Saccharomyces cerevisiae S288C: one gene and its partners. The protein of the gene in region 3 purifies or fractionates together with the protein of the main gene of each other region. This does not show direct contact. Each region holds a gene or a part of one and is shown on either strand. Other genes may lie near its edges. The genes, in order: MTF1, MOD5, MEF1 and GRX5.

Evidence for each region.
Region 1: the proteins of MEF1 (region 3) and MTF1 fractionate together in Saccharomyces cerevisiae (co-fractionation; one large-scale study listed by BioGRID). This does not show direct contact.
Region 2: the proteins of MEF1 (region 3) and MOD5 fractionate together in Saccharomyces cerevisiae (co-fractionation; one large-scale study listed by BioGRID). This does not show direct contact.
Region 4: the proteins of MEF1 (region 3) and GRX5 fractionate together in Saccharomyces cerevisiae (co-fractionation; one large-scale study listed by BioGRID). This does not show direct contact.

What each region holds. Positions count from the first base shown.
Region 1 is NC_001145.3:722,345-726,523, reverse strand, and holds MTF1 (RNA polymerase specificity factor), read right to left. Parts: upstream 1,899-4,179; coding exon 873-1,898; downstream 1-872. Other genes in the region: RRP5 (Rrp5p), read left to right, coding at 1-590; TATA-binding protein-associated factor TAF7, read left to right, coding at 2,139-3,911; ORA1 (oxidoreductase), read left to right, coding at 4,128-4,179. UniProt on the Saccharomyces cerevisiae protein: Mitochondrial transcription factor that confers selective promoter recognition on the core subunit of the yeast mitochondrial RNA polymerase. Interacts with DNA in a non-specific manner.
Region 2 is NC_001147.6:835,103-839,460, forward strand, and holds MOD5 (tRNA dimethylallyltransferase), read left to right. Parts: upstream 1-2,571; coding exon 2,572-3,858; downstream 3,859-4,358. Other genes in the region: TPO4 (Tpo4p), read right to left, coding at 1-1,329; RIM20 (Rim20p), read right to left, coding at 3,982-4,358. UniProt on the Saccharomyces cerevisiae protein: Catalyzes the transfer of a dimethylallyl group onto the adenine at position 37 in the anticodon loop on a specific subset of tRNAs both in the cytosol and the mitochondrion, leading to the formation of N6-(dimethylallyl)adenosine (i(6)A).
Region 3 is NC_001144.5:270,073-275,526, forward strand, and holds MEF1 (Mef1p), read right to left. Parts: upstream 3,844-5,454; coding exon 1,558-3,843; downstream 1-1,557. Other genes in the region: PET309 (Pet309p), read right to left, coding at 1-638; FYV7 (Fyv7p), read left to right, coding at 936-1,391; D-xylulose reductase XYL2, read right to left, coding at 4,069-5,139; RGR1 (Rgr1p), read right to left, coding at 5,306-5,454. UniProt on the Saccharomyces cerevisiae protein: Mitochondrial GTPase that catalyzes the GTP-dependent ribosomal translocation step during translation elongation.
Region 4 is NC_001148.4:442,569-446,252, reverse strand, and holds GRX5 (monothiol glutaredoxin GRX5), read right to left. Parts: upstream 1,675-3,684; coding exon 1,222-1,674; downstream 1-1,221. Other genes in the region: ATP-binding cassette multidrug transporter PDR12, read left to right, coding at 1-411. UniProt on the Saccharomyces cerevisiae protein: Monothiol glutaredoxin involved in mitochondrial iron-sulfur (Fe/S) cluster transfer. Receives 2Fe/2S clusters from scaffold protein ISU1 and mediates their transfer to apoproteins, to the 4Fe/FS cluster biosynthesis machinery, or export from mitochondrion.

The DNA of each region.
Region 1 (4,179 bases), on a different chromosome or scaffold from region 3:
AAGAAGTGTTTAGCAGGGCTTGTCAGTATATGGACTCATATACTATTCATACAAAACTGCTTGGTATTTATGAAATAAGTGAAAAGTTCGACAAAGCAGCAGAATTATTCAAAGCTACAGCTAAGAAATTTGGCGGCGAGAAAGTTTCTATCTGGGTATCGTGGGGTGATTTTTTGATCAGCCACAATGAAGAGCAAGAGGCACGTACTATTTTAGGTAATGCTTTGAAGGCCCTACCAAAGCGTAATCATATCGAGGTTGTCCGCAAGTTTGCTCAATTAGAATTTGCAAAGGGTGACCCAGAAAGGGGTCGGTCATTATTCGAAGGTTTGGTTGCTGATGCGCCAAAGAGAATTGACCTGTGGAACGTTTACGTAGACCAGGAAGTGAAGGCAAAAGATAAGAAGAAGGTGGAAGATTTATTTGAGAGAATAATAACCAAAAAAATAACAAGGAAGCAGGCTAAGTTTTTCTTTAATAAATGGTTACAATTTGAGGAATCTGAAGGTGACGAAAAGACCATTGAATACGTTAAAGCTAAAGCTACTGAGTATGTCGCTAGCCATGAATCTCAAAAAGCAGACGAATAATTCCTGATGGATTTTTAACTGTAAAGTAATATAAATGGCTAAGTTTGTAAAGTATATTTGTAAAGTACATAGAATGTAAAGTTTCAAGAAGCAATTTCTATCGATCAATTTAGCTTTGACGGTTCGTAGAGCTCCTTTTCTTAAAGTTTTAGTTCCGCTTCTCGCTTCTTGATTACAAGATGGTTCCGTGTTAACGAAGATTGAGTTCTATGTATTTTTTATATTCACACGCTAAAATCACATATTTATTAAATAATGAAGTAAATTTTAAAAGCACTTTTTTCAACCAGAGTGCTCTGTTTGATACATATCAACAAAATCCATTAAAATATCTGGTTTGAAAGGCCACTCCATGAATAATTTCGTTAGATATATAAACTCGTCATTTGTCAAATCAATCGGACACTTTTTTAGCAGATCTTTGTCAGTGATTCTACTATTAAAATATTGTTGGCCACCATGTCCCAGCGAGTCCATGACAGTATTCAAGGGTGTTCTTTTCAAAATCATTAAGTGCCTCGTGACATAATCCCAATTATCTACGTCAAAATCGAAGTCAATTGGGTCCATTTCTACTAACGCAATTGGCTTTCCCTTTGTAGGCCATATTTCCGCAGCACTAAATAAAATGGGATCCCATTCTTCTATGCATTGACTATCAAATCCCTTCAATTCATTTGCGTCTGATATGGCAATGAGTTTAGTATCTGTAAATGCCTCCCTTACTACTGAACATTTGGATCTAGAATGCATGCCTGGCCTAGCTAGAAGTTTTCTAGCTGTTGTGCTTGGCATCCATAATAACATCTTTACTTTACCAAACCTATACAACCAGTTCTTGTTTCCAATACAGGACAGCCACTGCATTATAAGACCTTCAGAACCCTCCCCCGTCACATTAGCAACGGTTAGAAATTTATCATTAATATGATCTGAGGATTGAACTTCAGGAACAAATATTCGCTCTTCGTCAATTAGATTCGAGTAGGTTGACCAGTCATATGGATCTCTTTTTAGAATTTGCAATGGAGACCCTTCGAATTTTGCATTCAGAAACTTGTAGAGACTTGAGCGTTTTTCTAATAAAGAATATTGCCTGGGGCAATATTTATTATAAAAAATAGCTGATTGTATACCAACACCAGGGTAGAGGTCAAGTACTTTCAATTCTTCTGGATGTTTATACGTTTTAGTTAAATCCAGCTTATCAAAGATTTTATTGTATACTGTTGGATTCCATAAATATTTGAAACCATAAAAGAACTTAAGTTTGGAGATATCTTTAATACCAGGGATTGGAACAGACATAGTTGCTGAGCCTTCTTACTTCAAAGAATGGTATTGACTGACGTAGTAACCGCATTTGTAAAGTTTCATCTCTATTATCATCATACAATAATATCGCTGTTATTCGGCCGATGAGAACAGTAAATAAAATTTCAAGACAAAACTTGCTAGCAAAAATAATAAAAGCGAGAAGAATAGGAAGAACTACATAAACAAGAGACAGTGTTACCATTCAAATTAGTCGCAATAATCGACGTAAATATGGCTGTTATAAGAATTAAAAAACCCAGAGGACCAGGAGAGAAGGATCAACCATTAGAAGGCGAGCCTAAACTAAAGAGAATTCGCATAAAGACAAAGGTAACTGATGAAGATATCAAACCAAAGCCTAAATTAAAGATAAACCTAAAGAAAAAGAAAGAGAGTGCTGACGGCAAAGAGAAGAAGAATTCATTGAAGTTAAAGTTAAACTTGAAAAAAAATGAAGAACCAGTTAAGAAGATACACAAGGCGCCAAAGCTACGTCTCAAACCTATTAGAATTCCTGGGGAAGCGTACGACTCAGAAGCCTCTGATATTGAAGATGACCCTCTCATAGAGAGTGGTGTGATATTAAGGATACTTCCAGACATACAGTTAGAGTTTGTAAAAAATTCGTTAGAATCAGGTGATTATTCTGGGATAAGTATCAAGTGGAAAAACGAGAGACACGCTGTCGTAACAATAAACGATGTAATGTATGGTGCCATTCTAGTAGATTTGCCTACAGTTATAGAAGTGAACAAGAGCGTCGATAGAAAAAACCTCCTGAAGACATTTGACGTATCACAAATGCTACTATGCATAAGACCTATACAAGAAGAGGAAGAAGTATATGCCCTAGAAGCCCCTGATACAGAAGATCTGGTTGTTAAGCATTTTGAAGGCATAGAGGATGAAATTTGGGAGAATAAAGAAACCTTCTTAAAAGGATACAATGGTGCGCCTTTAAGTGATATGGAGGCTAAACATTTGAAAGAAATAGCTTTGAAGGGCTATGACTACAAACATGGAATATCACCACCTTTGTACAATGTTCGAAATAGACGATTTAGACGGAAAATGGACCCTAATGAAATAGACTATGTAGAAAAAGTGGTTGATATGCTTTTGAAGCAAGATAAACAGGCAGAAGAGGTCAGCTATGATCTGGTTGATAAAAGTGAACTGCAAGCGAGGCAAGAGCGTGTTTCTAGTTGGGAAAATTTCAAAGAGGAGCCTGGAGAGCCTTTATCTAGACCTGCTTTAAAGAAAGAAGAGATACACACAATTGCTTCGGCAGTAGGAAAACAAGGTGCAGAAGAAGAGGGAGAAGAAGGAATGGAAGAAGAAGAAGAGGAGGATCTTGACCTAGGCGCTGCTTTTGAAAGTGAAGAGGAAGGTAGCGGTGCCGAGGGAGACAAGGAGCAACAACAAGAGGAAGTCGGTGATGAGGTGGATCAAGACACAGGCGGAGAAGATGATGACGATGATGACGACGGTGACATTGAAGCTGCTGGTGGGGAAAGTGAATCTGATGACGAAAAAGACGAAAACAGACAGCACACTGAATTACTTGCGGACGAATTGAACGAACTAGAGACCACCCTGGCCCATACCAAGCATAAATTAAGTAAAGCCACGAATCCTCTTTTGAAAAGCAGGTTCATAGATAGCATTAAAAAGCTCGAGAAGGAGGCTGAACTAAAACGTAAGCAGTTACAACAAACCGAAGATTCTGTCCAGAAACAACATCAACATCGCTCTGACGCAGAAACTGCAAATAACGTCGAGGAAGAAGAAGAGGAAGAGGAAGAAGAAGAGGAAGAGGATGAAGTGGACGAAGACGAGGAGGATGACGAAGAAAACGATGAGGACGAGGATAATGTGCATGAACGGGAACACATACAAGAGAACAAGGTGGTGCGCGAACTTGATGAAGCCCCCGCAGAGGAAACACTCGACCAGAACGATCTCGATATGATGATGCTATTTGGTGCAGAGGGTGATGAGTAAGTTCTCTTTATCATCTATATATTACTCTTATACACTATACGACTCTACTCTATGACGTATAGCATTGATATATATTAAGGCACGACACCGATTTTTCTTATCGGAGCGATATAAAAAGCTGAAGAAAGGAGGATAGATGAAACAGCATGGCGCATAGAAAGTGTTCAAGCTCACTAGTAAAGGCGGGAAATAGAACATTGAGAACGTATTTTGATAATGTCCCAAGGTAGAAAAGCTGCAGAAAGATTGGCTAAGAAGACTGTCCTCA
Region 2 (4,358 bases), on a different chromosome or scaffold from region 3:
GGCTTGCCAAAACAGGCCGATAGGCAAAGCTACAGAACCAAATTTACAGGCAATTAAAAATTTTTCTGGAACAACGGGTAGCAATTCACCTGTTTCAGCGTCTCTTGCACCTCTGTAAGGGGTAGTCCTTTTAGAAGTTCTCTCTTTTTCGGTGAGTGGTTGAGTGCCAGCTGGTGGTTTAGGGAAGAGATATTTTCTGTCGATGTAAAGGTAAAAGAAAGCACCTATCCATAACCCGACACCAATACCAATAAATGGCAAGCCAGATATCCCCATAGACATGTGGTAAACACCACGATAAATGACAGCGTATGCTTCGAAAAATCCAAATAAAATGGCGAATATGAAAGCGACATAAACACTGAAAACAAATACAATAGGTTCAACGACAAGCATTTTTAAAGGCCTTAAGATTGTAATAGTGACAGTGGTTTTTAAAAATTCTTTCTGAGCTTCCCTGCTGAACTTCTTCAAGGCTATATTTCTCTTCTTGGCACGCTTTCTTAAAATAATACCTTTATGGGTCTCTGGCATGAGCGCAATAAATGGCAAGATTAGACCGCCCGCAATCAATTGGATCCATTCAGACCAACGCCAGCCTTTGGCTTCAGTAGCAAATCCTGCCATAATAGGAGATAAAACTGGCCCTAAGAATGGAGATAGAACAAAGTATGTCATTGCGACGGAGACCTGGTCCACGTCAAAGATATCCAGGATGGTACCTGATCCAACGGATAAGGCGGGGGATGCAAAGACACCTGATAAAAACCTTAGGGGTAGAATTATTCTCATGTGGCCATTGGATAACCCAACACCCATGGTGAAAAGCATTGACACAGGTAGGGAAAATAAATAGACAGGCTTACGACCAAACACTTCACTTAATGGAGCGCCGATGACAGTCGATAAACCCAGAAGATAGAAAGTTAAACCAGCAAGCGCCAAAGTCTGACTAACGTGATATCTTTCTACCAATTCTGGTACGGAAGAAACATATAGGGAACTACCCATTGTGACGACCAAACAAAGAAAAGCTGAAGTCATAGTAGTATACCATTTCTTCAAAGAGGACCAATTATGCGGATTGTCTGGGTCATCGGGCCCGTCCCAATCGAGATCTCTTGGGTCAATTGGCTCGCCCCCTGTCATGTTATTGGAATCTGCATTCGGTTCTGATCTTTTTTCGTCCTCTGTTATTGACCCTGTCGAAGAAGAAGTCGAATCCAAGTTGCCGCTATTAGTTACATTTTTGTCCAAGGCTTTTGGTACCTGCTGTATGTTTGTTCGAGGATCTGAGTTAGATTCGGTTTTTGTCAAAGAAGAAGGCATTAGTAAAACTTAAAATATATGTATACGATGTCTATGCTTCTTTGTGTGTGTATGTGTGTGTATAAGATGGTATCTTTATTCTGTAATTTTCAGGAAAGTGATGACTAGAAAATCGATGTGTCAGGTACAACAAATTGACAACCTATAACTTTCCATACAGGCGAATATATATATACACATAAACACATTCAAGCCTCCGGTACCGTTTGCTCTGACAAGGACAATTAGCATGTAAGCACGAGTGCGGGTATGCAATCATTTCAGTGTTTCCTTCATTTGGCATAGTGTCGTAACACGGATTTAAGGTGAGCCGTCAGGGGCTTTTAAGCGGAGCCCCTGCAGCTTCATGAAGACGGAACCGCACGGGCCTATTACCTCGGGGATAGATCAATTATCCGAAGCGGGTCACAACCCGGAAATAATAACCACTATGCCCGACCGTACCGACGTGGCACTATTTTTGGGATCCGTGGAAGTCGGCCATTAGTGGTAATCGGCGAAAACAAGTTTATTGCAGCTAAAGCACGCCATACGGTTGATATAAACAGCAATTAGGCACTTTTTCTCTTATTATTCATATGCCTTATTGGCTTGTGGCTTGTGGCTTGTAGCCTATGCAAATGCATTTGCTGATAGCAGCATAAGAAAGTTGGGAAGAAACGCTAACTGTACTTTTTATATCCAGAGTTCATTAGTTGATCTTTTACCCCAATAATTTCTTCCACTTGCGGCCTGCTTCTTCGCATTTCTCCCATTCCGGGCCGCGACTCCGTAGTTCTTACAGAAACAGCCGCCTCCATAACCATCTATGATAGGAAAAAGATGGACAAACAGGAAAAGAGCTAGGGAGTATAACCTGATTCCTGACATGTATAGGATTCGGGTAATTTTGAAATACGAAGCTCTTTGCATTCCGAGACCGGTTTAGGAAGATTTATTTACATATCTACTTGCGCTATTGTGGTCATGCCTTCGAAAGATAAAGAGCGAATTTTGCTCGTATAAGCTAAAATCAGGTAAAAGTTCCTTATGTTGCTGCTCCTCGATGGCAACGTCGATCTAAGATCTTGATTACTGAATCAGGCGAAAGCACACGTTCATCTTTCGCTCATCGGAAAGAAAATTAAAACAGAAAAAAATTCTAAAATGGCAAAAAAGAAGAAAAGCTCAGTGAGGGCTGTATAGTTTATTAGATAAGCTACTATACGTACATATCTTTTGTAAATAGAACCAAAAATCTTCATGCTAAAGGGACCGCTTAAAGGTTGCTTAAATATGTCTAAAAAAGTTATAGTGATTGCTGGTACAACAGGAGTAGGAAAGTCTCAGTTGTCCATACAATTGGCACAAAAATTTAATGGCGAAGTTATCAATTCGGATTCTATGCAGGTATATAAAGATATTCCTATTATAACAAATAAACATCCGCTTCAAGAAAGAGAGGGCATTCCTCACCATGTAATGAATCACGTAGATTGGTCAGAAGAATACTATTCCCATCGTTTTGAAACTGAATGCATGAACGCTATTGAAGATATTCACCGGAGGGGTAAGATACCCATCGTTGTTGGGGGTACTCATTATTATTTGCAGACTCTTTTCAATAAGCGGGTCGATACGAAATCATCCGAACGTAAGCTCACAAGGAAGCAGCTCGATATTTTGGAATCGACTGACCCTGATGTGATTTATAACACACTTGTGAAGTGTGATCCTGATATAGCTACCAAATACCATCCTAATGACTACAGGAGGGTACAACGAATGTTGGAAATCTACTATAAGACGGGCAAAAAACCAAGCGAGACATTTAACGAACAAAAAATAACTTTGAAGTTTGATACCCTATTTTTATGGCTATACAGTAAGCCGGAGCCACTTTTCCAAAGGCTTGACGATCGTGTAGACGACATGCTAGAAAGAGGCGCCTTGCAAGAAATCAAGCAATTATATGAATATTACAGTCAAAATAAATTTACGCCGGAGCAATGCGAGAATGGTGTTTGGCAAGTTATTGGCTTCAAAGAATTCTTACCGTGGCTAACCGGGAAAACTGATGACAACACAGTAAAATTGGAGGATTGTATAGAAAGAATGAAAACGAGAACACGTCAATACGCAAAAAGGCAGGTAAAATGGATCAAGAAAATGCTGATACCTGACATCAAAGGCGATATATACTTACTGGATGCCACTGACCTTTCTCAATGGGACACGAATGCATCTCAAAGAGCGATAGCTATTTCCAATGACTTTATTAGCAATCGACCCATCAAGCAAGAAAGGGCACCTAAAGCCCTAGAGGAGCTGTTGTCTAAAGGCGAAACTACGATGAAGAAATTGGACGATTGGACACATTATACTTGCAACGTCTGTCGTAACGCAGATGGTAAGAACGTTGTAGCTATTGGCGAAAAATATTGGAAAATTCATTTGGGTAGCAGAAGACATAAATCCAACTTGAAAAGAAACACTCGTCAAGCTGATTTTGAAAAATGGAAAATAAACAAGAAGGAGACTGTGGAATGAAAATATTAGGAAAAAGGAGTTTATCCTGAGTGTATATATCTACATAAGTGAAGCTGGGTTTTGATAATGGAAAGGGAGGATGACAAGCTCAAAATATACTTTATAGATGAATGAGGACAGGTATCATTGGTCTTCAAATGTCAAACTCTTATCAAGCCTAGCTTTTTCTGCTCTTCTTGCTGTATCATATTCCTGTACCTCATTGTACAGATTGCTGGTAGAAGTAATTAAATTTTCGTAAAATGCTGTGCCGGCACTTAAATTTTCTTTCACCTCATCAAGCAGTTTGAAGGAATATCTCAGATCTTCAATATATAGCTCTCTGGGATCTATTCTTACCATTTTCTTTGGTTCAATCCCGCTTCTGCCGGGGTTATTCTTCTTACTTAGGTTTACTTCCTCAATAAGTTTGATATTTTCTTCCTTTGTACTATTAACGTATCTTAAATCTTCGTCAAAGTATTTTAAATGGCCTATGAAAATGGGTTCAAAGTCGACTG
Region 3 (5,454 bases):
AAGTTTCTCAAAACTATCTTGTTCTCCATATAATTCGTAAATTCACAATGTCCATTCACTAGTTTCATCCATTTGACCCATTTATATACAGCTTCTTCATGCATATTCATTATAACCATCCTAGAGAAAATCGAGTTAATGAGGTCTATCACCATTGTCTTTTGTGTTAATAGAAACCGTTGTATGATATCAGAGATTGCCTGATCTAATTGAATACCTCTTTGTAAAATCAATAAAGAGAGAAGGAACTTTTTCAATTCAGGTAATGAGGCATCCTGTTTTAACAATCTTTGTGAACCAATAGTGGTATAAAGAAACTTCTGTGCAATTTTTATAACGTTCCCATAGGCCTGGTGCCGATAAAGATACTTTATAAGGTACTGTCGTTCAAATGTTGTGGTAGCTGAATTACTTGTTATTGATGTTGTTGCTTTCTTTGTTAATCCACTGCCAACCGACTTTAGAGGAACACTTCCGCGCGCCATAAAATATGAGACCAGGTTTCTCTCATCCTGTGAGCATAATGGTGACGTCGATTTATCTCGAAGCAGCTTCCTTATATGATCAGGTACGCCGGTACTCCATATACCCTTCTTATAATTATAATTTCTTAATACGGCAGGAGCACACCTTTTCATAATGGCCAAAAAGCGTGTTTCAGTATACTCCAACACCCTTAATCACTTAAATTCGAAGCTTTGTACACTATTGCGGCCTCTTTCCTGGGTATCGAGGCTGCGTTAGCGTCACCTAGAAATCCCACTTTAACTTACACTACATGATTTTTTATTTTTATTTCTCTATTGGCCCGAAAAGTTACTTTTCCTTCAAACAATGAAAAATTTCAAAATCAAACCTCATCGCGATAGTATTAAAAGTGCTTTCACAAGAATGATACAGGAAGGTGGTCAAGTAAGCAACTGAGCAAAATCAATATGGGTACAGCCAAGCAAAATCAAAATAGAAAGAAGTTTACGAGGGAGTATAAGGTTAAGGAGATCCAAAGAAGTATTACAAAGAAAACTAGACTGAGAAAGGAATACCTTAAAGCTTTAAAAGATGAAGGGTATGCCGTACCAGAAAAGGAACCAAAAACCGTGGCAAAAGAATCTGTAAGGAAGATTAAGGAAGCCAGGGCAATAGAGGGAAAGAAGAAACTAGACGAGAAGAAGGAGATCAAGAAACAAAGAAAGAGAATGCAAAAAGATGAATTAAACAAGCAAAGAAACGAGCAATTGGAAAGAATCAGAGTTTCGAAGGAAAAATTTCAGAGGAGAGAAGATAGAAAGAAGAAATTGACTCAAAGAACAAGGACAGGCCAGCCCTTGATGGGCCCTAAGATAGAGGATCTTTTGGATAAAATTAAGACGGATGATACTTATACCTCCTAGATAATGATATTCTTCAAAATTTCTTTTCATTCGTGTATTTACAGAAAGATCTTTTTATTTAAATTTACTTAATTAGTGTGTATATTAATTTTATTTCCTGCCTTTTGTTAATTCCTTTTTATTGGAATTTGTTATTTACAAGACTGTTTTGCCCATGAGGACTTGACTATTTCTTCGCTTGCTTCTTTTGGAACTCAGATATCAATTCTTTTTGAACATGGGGCGCTGTTGGAGCGTAATGACTAAACTCTAATGAAAACTCACCTTTACCTTGAGTCGAGGCTCTTAATGAGGTGGCGAAACCGAACATCGTGCTCAAGGCACATTCTGCTTTTAATGTAAATTCATCATGACCATTTTCGGTATCCTGTATTACTGCTTGTAATTTATTCAATAAACCGATGACGTTACCTTGAAACTCGTTTGGCGATGTTACTGAAACATTCATGATAGGTTCCATGATCACCGGCTGTGCCCTCAGGAAGGCGTCACGGAAGGCTGACATAGTAGCTGTTTTGAATGATAATTCATTAGAATCCACGGCATGAATAGCACCATCATTGATTAGCATTTTAACATCCAAAACACGATGACCGATCAATGGTCCCTTTTCACATACTTCTTCAAAACCCTTACCACATGCAGCCAAATACTTGTCCGGTATACGGCCACCAACAATAGCGGTCTCGAATATGTTGCCTTTGGTAATGTCATCCACGGGAGATAAGGTACCGATAACTCTACCATATTGACCAGCGCCACCAGATTGTTTTTTATGTGTATAATCAAAATCTGCCGGGATGGTGATAGATTCTCTATAGGAAACCTGCGGTTTACCCGTGACACAGTCCACATTATATTCACGTCTCATTCTTTCAACGTAAATCTCCAGATGCAATTCACCCATCCCAGAAATAATTGTTTCTTTAGATTCAGGATCGAACTTCACTCTGAATGTAGGGTCTTCCTTTTGAAATCTGTTCAAAGCCTTCGAAAAATTCGATGCGTCCTTTGAATTTGGCGTAATCGATAACGAGACAACAGCATCTGGAACATACATGGATGACATAGAGTATTGAACGCTACCATCAGTGAATGTATCTCCAGAAGCACAGTCAATACCAAAAGTAGCGCAAATTTCACCTGAGCCAACTTCATCAACATCTTCCATCTCACTAGAATGCATCCTGACCAATCTTGCAACCTTCACTTTTTTACCAGTCTTTACATTTGTAATGTAATTACCTTTTCTTAAACGCCCCTGATATACGCGAACATAAGTCAATTGACCATATTTGCCTTCTTCCAATTTGAATGCCAATCCAACAAATGGCTGTTGCACCGCAGGAACTAAGTTAACCTTGGCTTCGTTGTTGCTCACATCTAGAGCTGTATTCAACACTTCAGAGGGATTAGGTAAGTAGTCTACAATAGCGTCCAAAACGGGCTGAATACCAGTATTTGCCAGTGCGGATCCCATCAAAACTGGTGTAAAAGACCTAGCAATTGTAGATCTGCGAATAGCATCTTTAATTTGTTGCGTGGTAGGCTCCTTTTCTTCCAAAAACATTTCTGCCATTTCATCATCCACATCAGCAAGTGTTTCGATCAAAAGTTGTCTTTTTTCCTCCATTAATGGCTTCAAATTTTCAGGCACTGGCCCTTTTTCTATAATTTCACCATTATCACCCTTGTTGTAAATAGCAACTCTATTAATCAAATCAACGACACCAGATAAGCTTGATTCCGATCCGATAGGAATTTGTACAGCAGCAGCAGGTATTTTTAGTTTCGAATTAAGTTGTTCTATTGCACGGAAGGGATCTGAACCCATACGATCCATTTTGTTGATGAAAGTTACTCTTGGAACATTATATCTACGCATTTGACGATCCACGGTCACAGTTTGGGATTGAACACCTGAAACAGCACAAACAACAAGAACTGCACCGTCTAGTACTCTAAGAGCACGCTCCACTTCGATAGTGAAATCAATATGACCTGGAGTGTCGATCAAGTTGAAATGATAGTTTTTGCCCTCTTTATCCCAAGAGCAGTAAGTAGCGGCAGACTGAATAGTAATACCCTTTTCCCTTTCAAGATCCATAGAATCCATCTTGGCTCCAACATTATCCCTACCACGAACCTCATGAATGGCTTTGATTCTTTTTGTATAGTACAGAACACGTTCAGTGAAAGTAGTTTTTCCGGAGTCAATATGAGCAGATATACCTATGTTACGCAATTTATTACATCTTCCAATATCGTCTGGAGTAAGTTTTTGTTTGATTTCATCCACCAAAACTTTTTCTTCTTCATATGTAGAACGAGCAAGTGGACTCTCATGAAAAGACCTTCTCGAGAAACCTGAAAAAACTTTTGAACATGTGAAAAAGGGTATTCTACCTCCAACCATTTTTCGAGGCACCCACATCATTTTCTGGACACTCATATTGGTGATATATTGCAGTGCTTTCTACCTTCTTCCGTTTCAATCTCCTTTATTAAATCTCGTTTTTTAGATATTTTCATCTTGGAAATTTCGGCCGCTTGTGAAGTTCCATCCCCACAATAATAATGCAAAGTTATCATATTAATATATATATATATAAAAGACATATAAAAAAAATCAAATGTATTGTGCATCTTGGATGCCAAAAGTTACATTTTCTTTCCTTCATTCCGGGCCCTCAATGATCGTCTTGATATTATTTAACGGGTGGTGGCTTGTTTCTTCGAATGCCTCGACAGCATCCTTAAAGCTATAGCGATGTGTAATGAATGGTTTAAGCGAGAGTTTTCTGCTAGAGACTAGCTCGATGGAGTCACTATAATCACCTTGACAGTATCGGAAACAGCCTTGGAATGTCAGTTCTTTTGTTGGAATGATCGAGATGGGAAATTGTATTTCCTCTTGTCCCATTCCAACTTGAACGATCGTTCCACCTGCCTTACAGACTTCGATGCCTGCTCGAACGCAAGGCTCTGCACCAGAACATTCAAACACAACGTCAGCACCTTTCTTGCCGATTGCTTTTTTTATAACACTATCTACAGTAACGCCATGTGGGAGATCACCTGAGTTGACGATGTGGGTGGCACCAAACTGCCTAGCCGTTTCCAGCTTGTTTTCTAATAGATCTACAAAAACAACATCTGCAGCACCAAAGACACTGGCTACTTTCCCGGCTAGCAAACCTATGGGCCCAGCTCCAAAGACGACGCAACGGGCTCCAAACTTGATCTTTGCTAATTTATTAGCATGGATTGCCACTGATAATGGCTCTATTAGTGCTCCTTCCTCGAATGACACATCATCAGGAAGTTTATAGACGAAATCTTTCATGGTCTTATAATACTTTGTCAAGGTCCCATCAAAGGGAGGTGTCGCAGCAAATTTTAAATTGGGGTCCAGGTTGTATCTGCCCTCTTTCATCTCCGGTGAAAACCTGTCAGGTATTCCGGGCTCAAGTGCCACCCTATCTCCTACTTTAAGTGTCTTGACGTTCTCACCTATGAGGGCCACTATTCCTGATGATTCATGTCCCAGCACCATTGGTGATTCTACCACGTAATTGGCTATTCTTCCATGGGTATAGTAATGGATATCTGACCCGCATATTCCTGTCGCCTTGATCTGGATGATTACTTCGTTAGGATCTGAAATCTTTGGGATGCTGACATTAGTTAGGGTGATTTTACCAGGTCGCTCTAGAACAATAGCTTCTTGTGTAGTTAAGTCAGTCATGCTCAATGGTGTTCTCTATCCTCAAGGCAGTATGAATATGTCTTTTTAGTGTGTATGGATATATTTATGTATATACTTATACAGTTTTCAATTTTATTTTGAATTAATTCAGGAGAGGGGTTACAATCTCCTAAGGGATAGTAGCGCCGGTGACATTTTATTCGCTCTAAGATGAACTTGAGTTCGAGTCCACTTTGAGGATATTATGGATTTCCATTAGGATAGGCTCTATCTCACTGGGATCGCAAGCCACGCCATTGCCCAAACGAATGGCATGTGATGCGTTTGCGGGTTTGACAGATTCTGGGGTACCTA
Region 4 (3,684 bases), on a different chromosome or scaffold from region 3:
AAGGTCGTTTGTAATCCTCATGAATACAACATCATGGACCCACCAAGCGGAAAAACTTGTGGTGAGTTTTTATCTACCTATATGGACAATAATACCGGTTATTTGGTAAATCCAACTGCCACCGAAAACTGTCAATATTGCCCATACACTGTTCAAGATCAAGTTGTGGCTAAATACAATGTCAAATGGGATCACAGATGGAGAAACTTTGGTTTCATGTGGGCTTATATTTGCTTCAATATTGCCGCTATGTTGATTTGTTACTATGTTGTAAGAGTTAAGGTGTGGTCTTTGAAGTCTGTTTTGAATTTCAAGAAATGGTTTAATGGGCCAAGAAAGGAAAGACATGAAAAAGATACCAACATTTTCCAAACAGTTCCAGGTGACGAAAATAAAATCACGAAGAAATAAACAAGCAAGCAAATATATTTGTATTTCGTGGTTTAACACACAATTTTTATTTTCAATTTTTTTTCACAAATTTTGGCGTCCTTTAACATCATTTTTTTAATTTTACATTTGATTTTACTTTCTATTATTATTTTCCGAAAATTTCACACTAATGTTTTATGTATAGAATCAATATAATTATTTAATATATTAATTATTAATACCATTTAAAAGAAAAGAATTTCATTTCTATCCCACTCGTGAGTAATGGCTTAAAGGCACAATTGTGTGTTCATTATATCCCTATCACCTTCAAAAGGAAGTTTGATCCTTTGACTAACATATTTGAAAGCTTCGCAGGGCAATAAAATTGAGCTCGCCTATTATCTTCCAATCCTTTTACGTTAAAAAAAATGGGGGAAAAGCAAACTGGTAACAGTACGGAATCTATCGAAAATCAAGAGAGTAACAAAGACAACCCCAACAAATGTCTGTCGCGTCTTTCGCACGTTGAATCAGAACGAAGATATGGCTTCTGTCATTCTAAAACTAACGTTTTTTGATTCAAGTCTATGCGGGGAATATTAAATATATTCATAATTCTCACTTCTTTGTTTTATAACGTCAATTCATTTGGCAAAGCAAAGAGAGGGGTTTGTAAGTAGAGAATCTGTTATTTACAAGTCTAAAGGCATGAGAATACATTACAAATCTTTAAAAAAATAGCAAATGTACATGCATATATAAATATGGATCGTAAAGGCCTATTATGCACACGAGTATTAAAGTGTTCGGCCACCAGTTCCTATTTTGCTTCCAGTGGTAACAAAATCAACGATCTTTGGTTTCTTCTTCTTCTTCAGGTACCAATGCCTGTGCCTCTTCTAGCAAATCGGCCAATTCACCAGAGCGTGCCATACTTGTAATAACATCACATCCACCAATGAATTCTTTGTTTACATATAACTGTGGAATAGTTGGCCATTCTGAAAACTCTTTGATACCTTCACGTAGCTCTGGGTCTTCTAAAACATTATAAGCCGCAAATTTGGCCGGGTCAACGCCTTGATTTCCTAATAATCCAATGGTTGCTCTTGAAAATCCACACTTGGGAAATTCAGGAGTACCTTTCATGAAAAGAACCACTGGAGCCGATTCGATGGCATCTTCAATAGCTTTTCTTATCTCTGTGCTCAAATACATCCGATTTTGGTAACGAAGAAGAGTCTTAGCCCGGAGGATGGGGGAAAATGACCTTATGGGATTGAATTTTGGGAGAAACATTGTCTGATTTCCTCAAATTTTTGCTAAAGTCAAAAAGTAAACAGATACCTTTGTGGCCTTGATATATGTGAAAAGAGTAATACAACTTCTTGTCCCTTTGGGACTAGAACGCATTTGTCATCAATACTTTATACCTTTACTTCCTAGAAGTGATTTATTTTGGTCGGGTAACGTTTTTCCAATAAGCTCAGATCAGTGCCAAATACCGGTTTAGACTCTTTACGGCACTAGTTATGCTTTATTGAATAAATTAAGCTCTGTATACTAAATTTAGAATCTCATGATTCCGTATGTAGTAAATTAACAGTTTGTACTATATTATAAAGAAGAATGAATGCATTGAACTTTTTGATCACAAGAAAAGTTGGCGTAGCAATACAACATACCTACTGTTCTCTCTTTGTTCGTGGTACCTTAATTAGTATTGTCGTAAGAAAATCTAAATGTCTTCTTTGGGCTAACTTATGATTTGCATACTTCTACAGTCGTCATAATGGACACCTTGTAATAAAAAGTGATGTGGTTCTCATCTGTTATAATAAATGGCTATGTGCGGCATTCGATGTCGTTTGAGATATTGACTACTAATGTATATTGAGATAAATCTGGCTGTTACCACAATTTGTCATTAGGTAGAAACGATAGCGCATGCTTAAAATAATTATGGATAGAAAACAGCAGTCGCGCTGTATGTAGAAAATATAAAACACATAAGTGATTCAGATCAGAACCCTCCTAAATCCCTAAAATATAGAAGTTCATTACATGGCAGTGATATATTAGAGGTTACCATCCTTTCTTAATATTGATAAGGCTACTAAATTAAGTGTTACTGGAACCTAGTTTCGCTTAATTCCTTTAGCTTTTGCATTCTATTTTTTCTTTTAATCAATCACTAATGAAGAAGCCTTAAGTCAGATAATGCCGTATCTAAGTATTCCTTTTGTAATAGCTCAATTTGTTAAAATACTCGTTCTCCTTGTGTTCTAGTGCATCAATTATCCATAATAATAAGCATATACTCGTACTGAATTATTCAATGGCCTAAATGGCAAGCACTAGCTTGCTCGAAGTTACTAACTGAACTATAAAACATTTTACTCTTTCAATTACTTTTAATTGAATCTTAAGCAGAATCAAAACTGCTTATGACTGCCATATGCTCAATGCGATGGCTCATATTTTCCATTTACATGAACCCCAGTTTATGTTCAAGTAGTATATGTTCTTAATTCAACGCAAACTGCTGATTTCACCATTGAATATTGTTTATATATGATATATACCGTCAAATTACTTCACGACAGTGTGAACTGTGATAAATCACTTGTTCCAACAAAATCCAGTACATTGGGTATTCGATCGCAGGCAATTATATTAATCGGGTATGCTAATATGGATTAGAGCCGTAGAAGCAGAACAAGGAGAATTACTTAATATTTGAAGTTCATTTAATATTCTTTGATTGTTGGAACGAGAGTAATTAATAGTGACATGAGTTGCTATGGTAACAATCTAATGCTTACATCGTATATTAATGTACAACTCGTATACGTTTAAGTGTGATTGCGCCTATTGCAGAAGGAATGTTAAACGAGAAGCTCAGACAATACTGAAGCTGTGTTAAAGACCTATTAGTTGAACATGATATGGTAGGTACATATATGAGGAATATGAGTCGTCACATCAATGTATAGTAACTACCGGAACCACTATTATATTGGTCATGATTAATATGACCAATCGGCGTGTGTTTTATATACCTCTCTTATTTAGTATAAGAAGATCAGTACTCACTTCTTCATTAATACTAATTTTTTACCTCTAATTATCAACATGGCGACCCCAGTGAGGGATGAAACAAGAAATGTTATTGACGACAACATTTCTGCGCGGATTCAATCGAAAGTCAAAACAAATGATACTGTCAGACAGACGCCATCATCATTAAGAAAAGTTTCTATTAAAGATGAACAGGTGAAACAATATCAAAGAAACTTAAATAGGTTT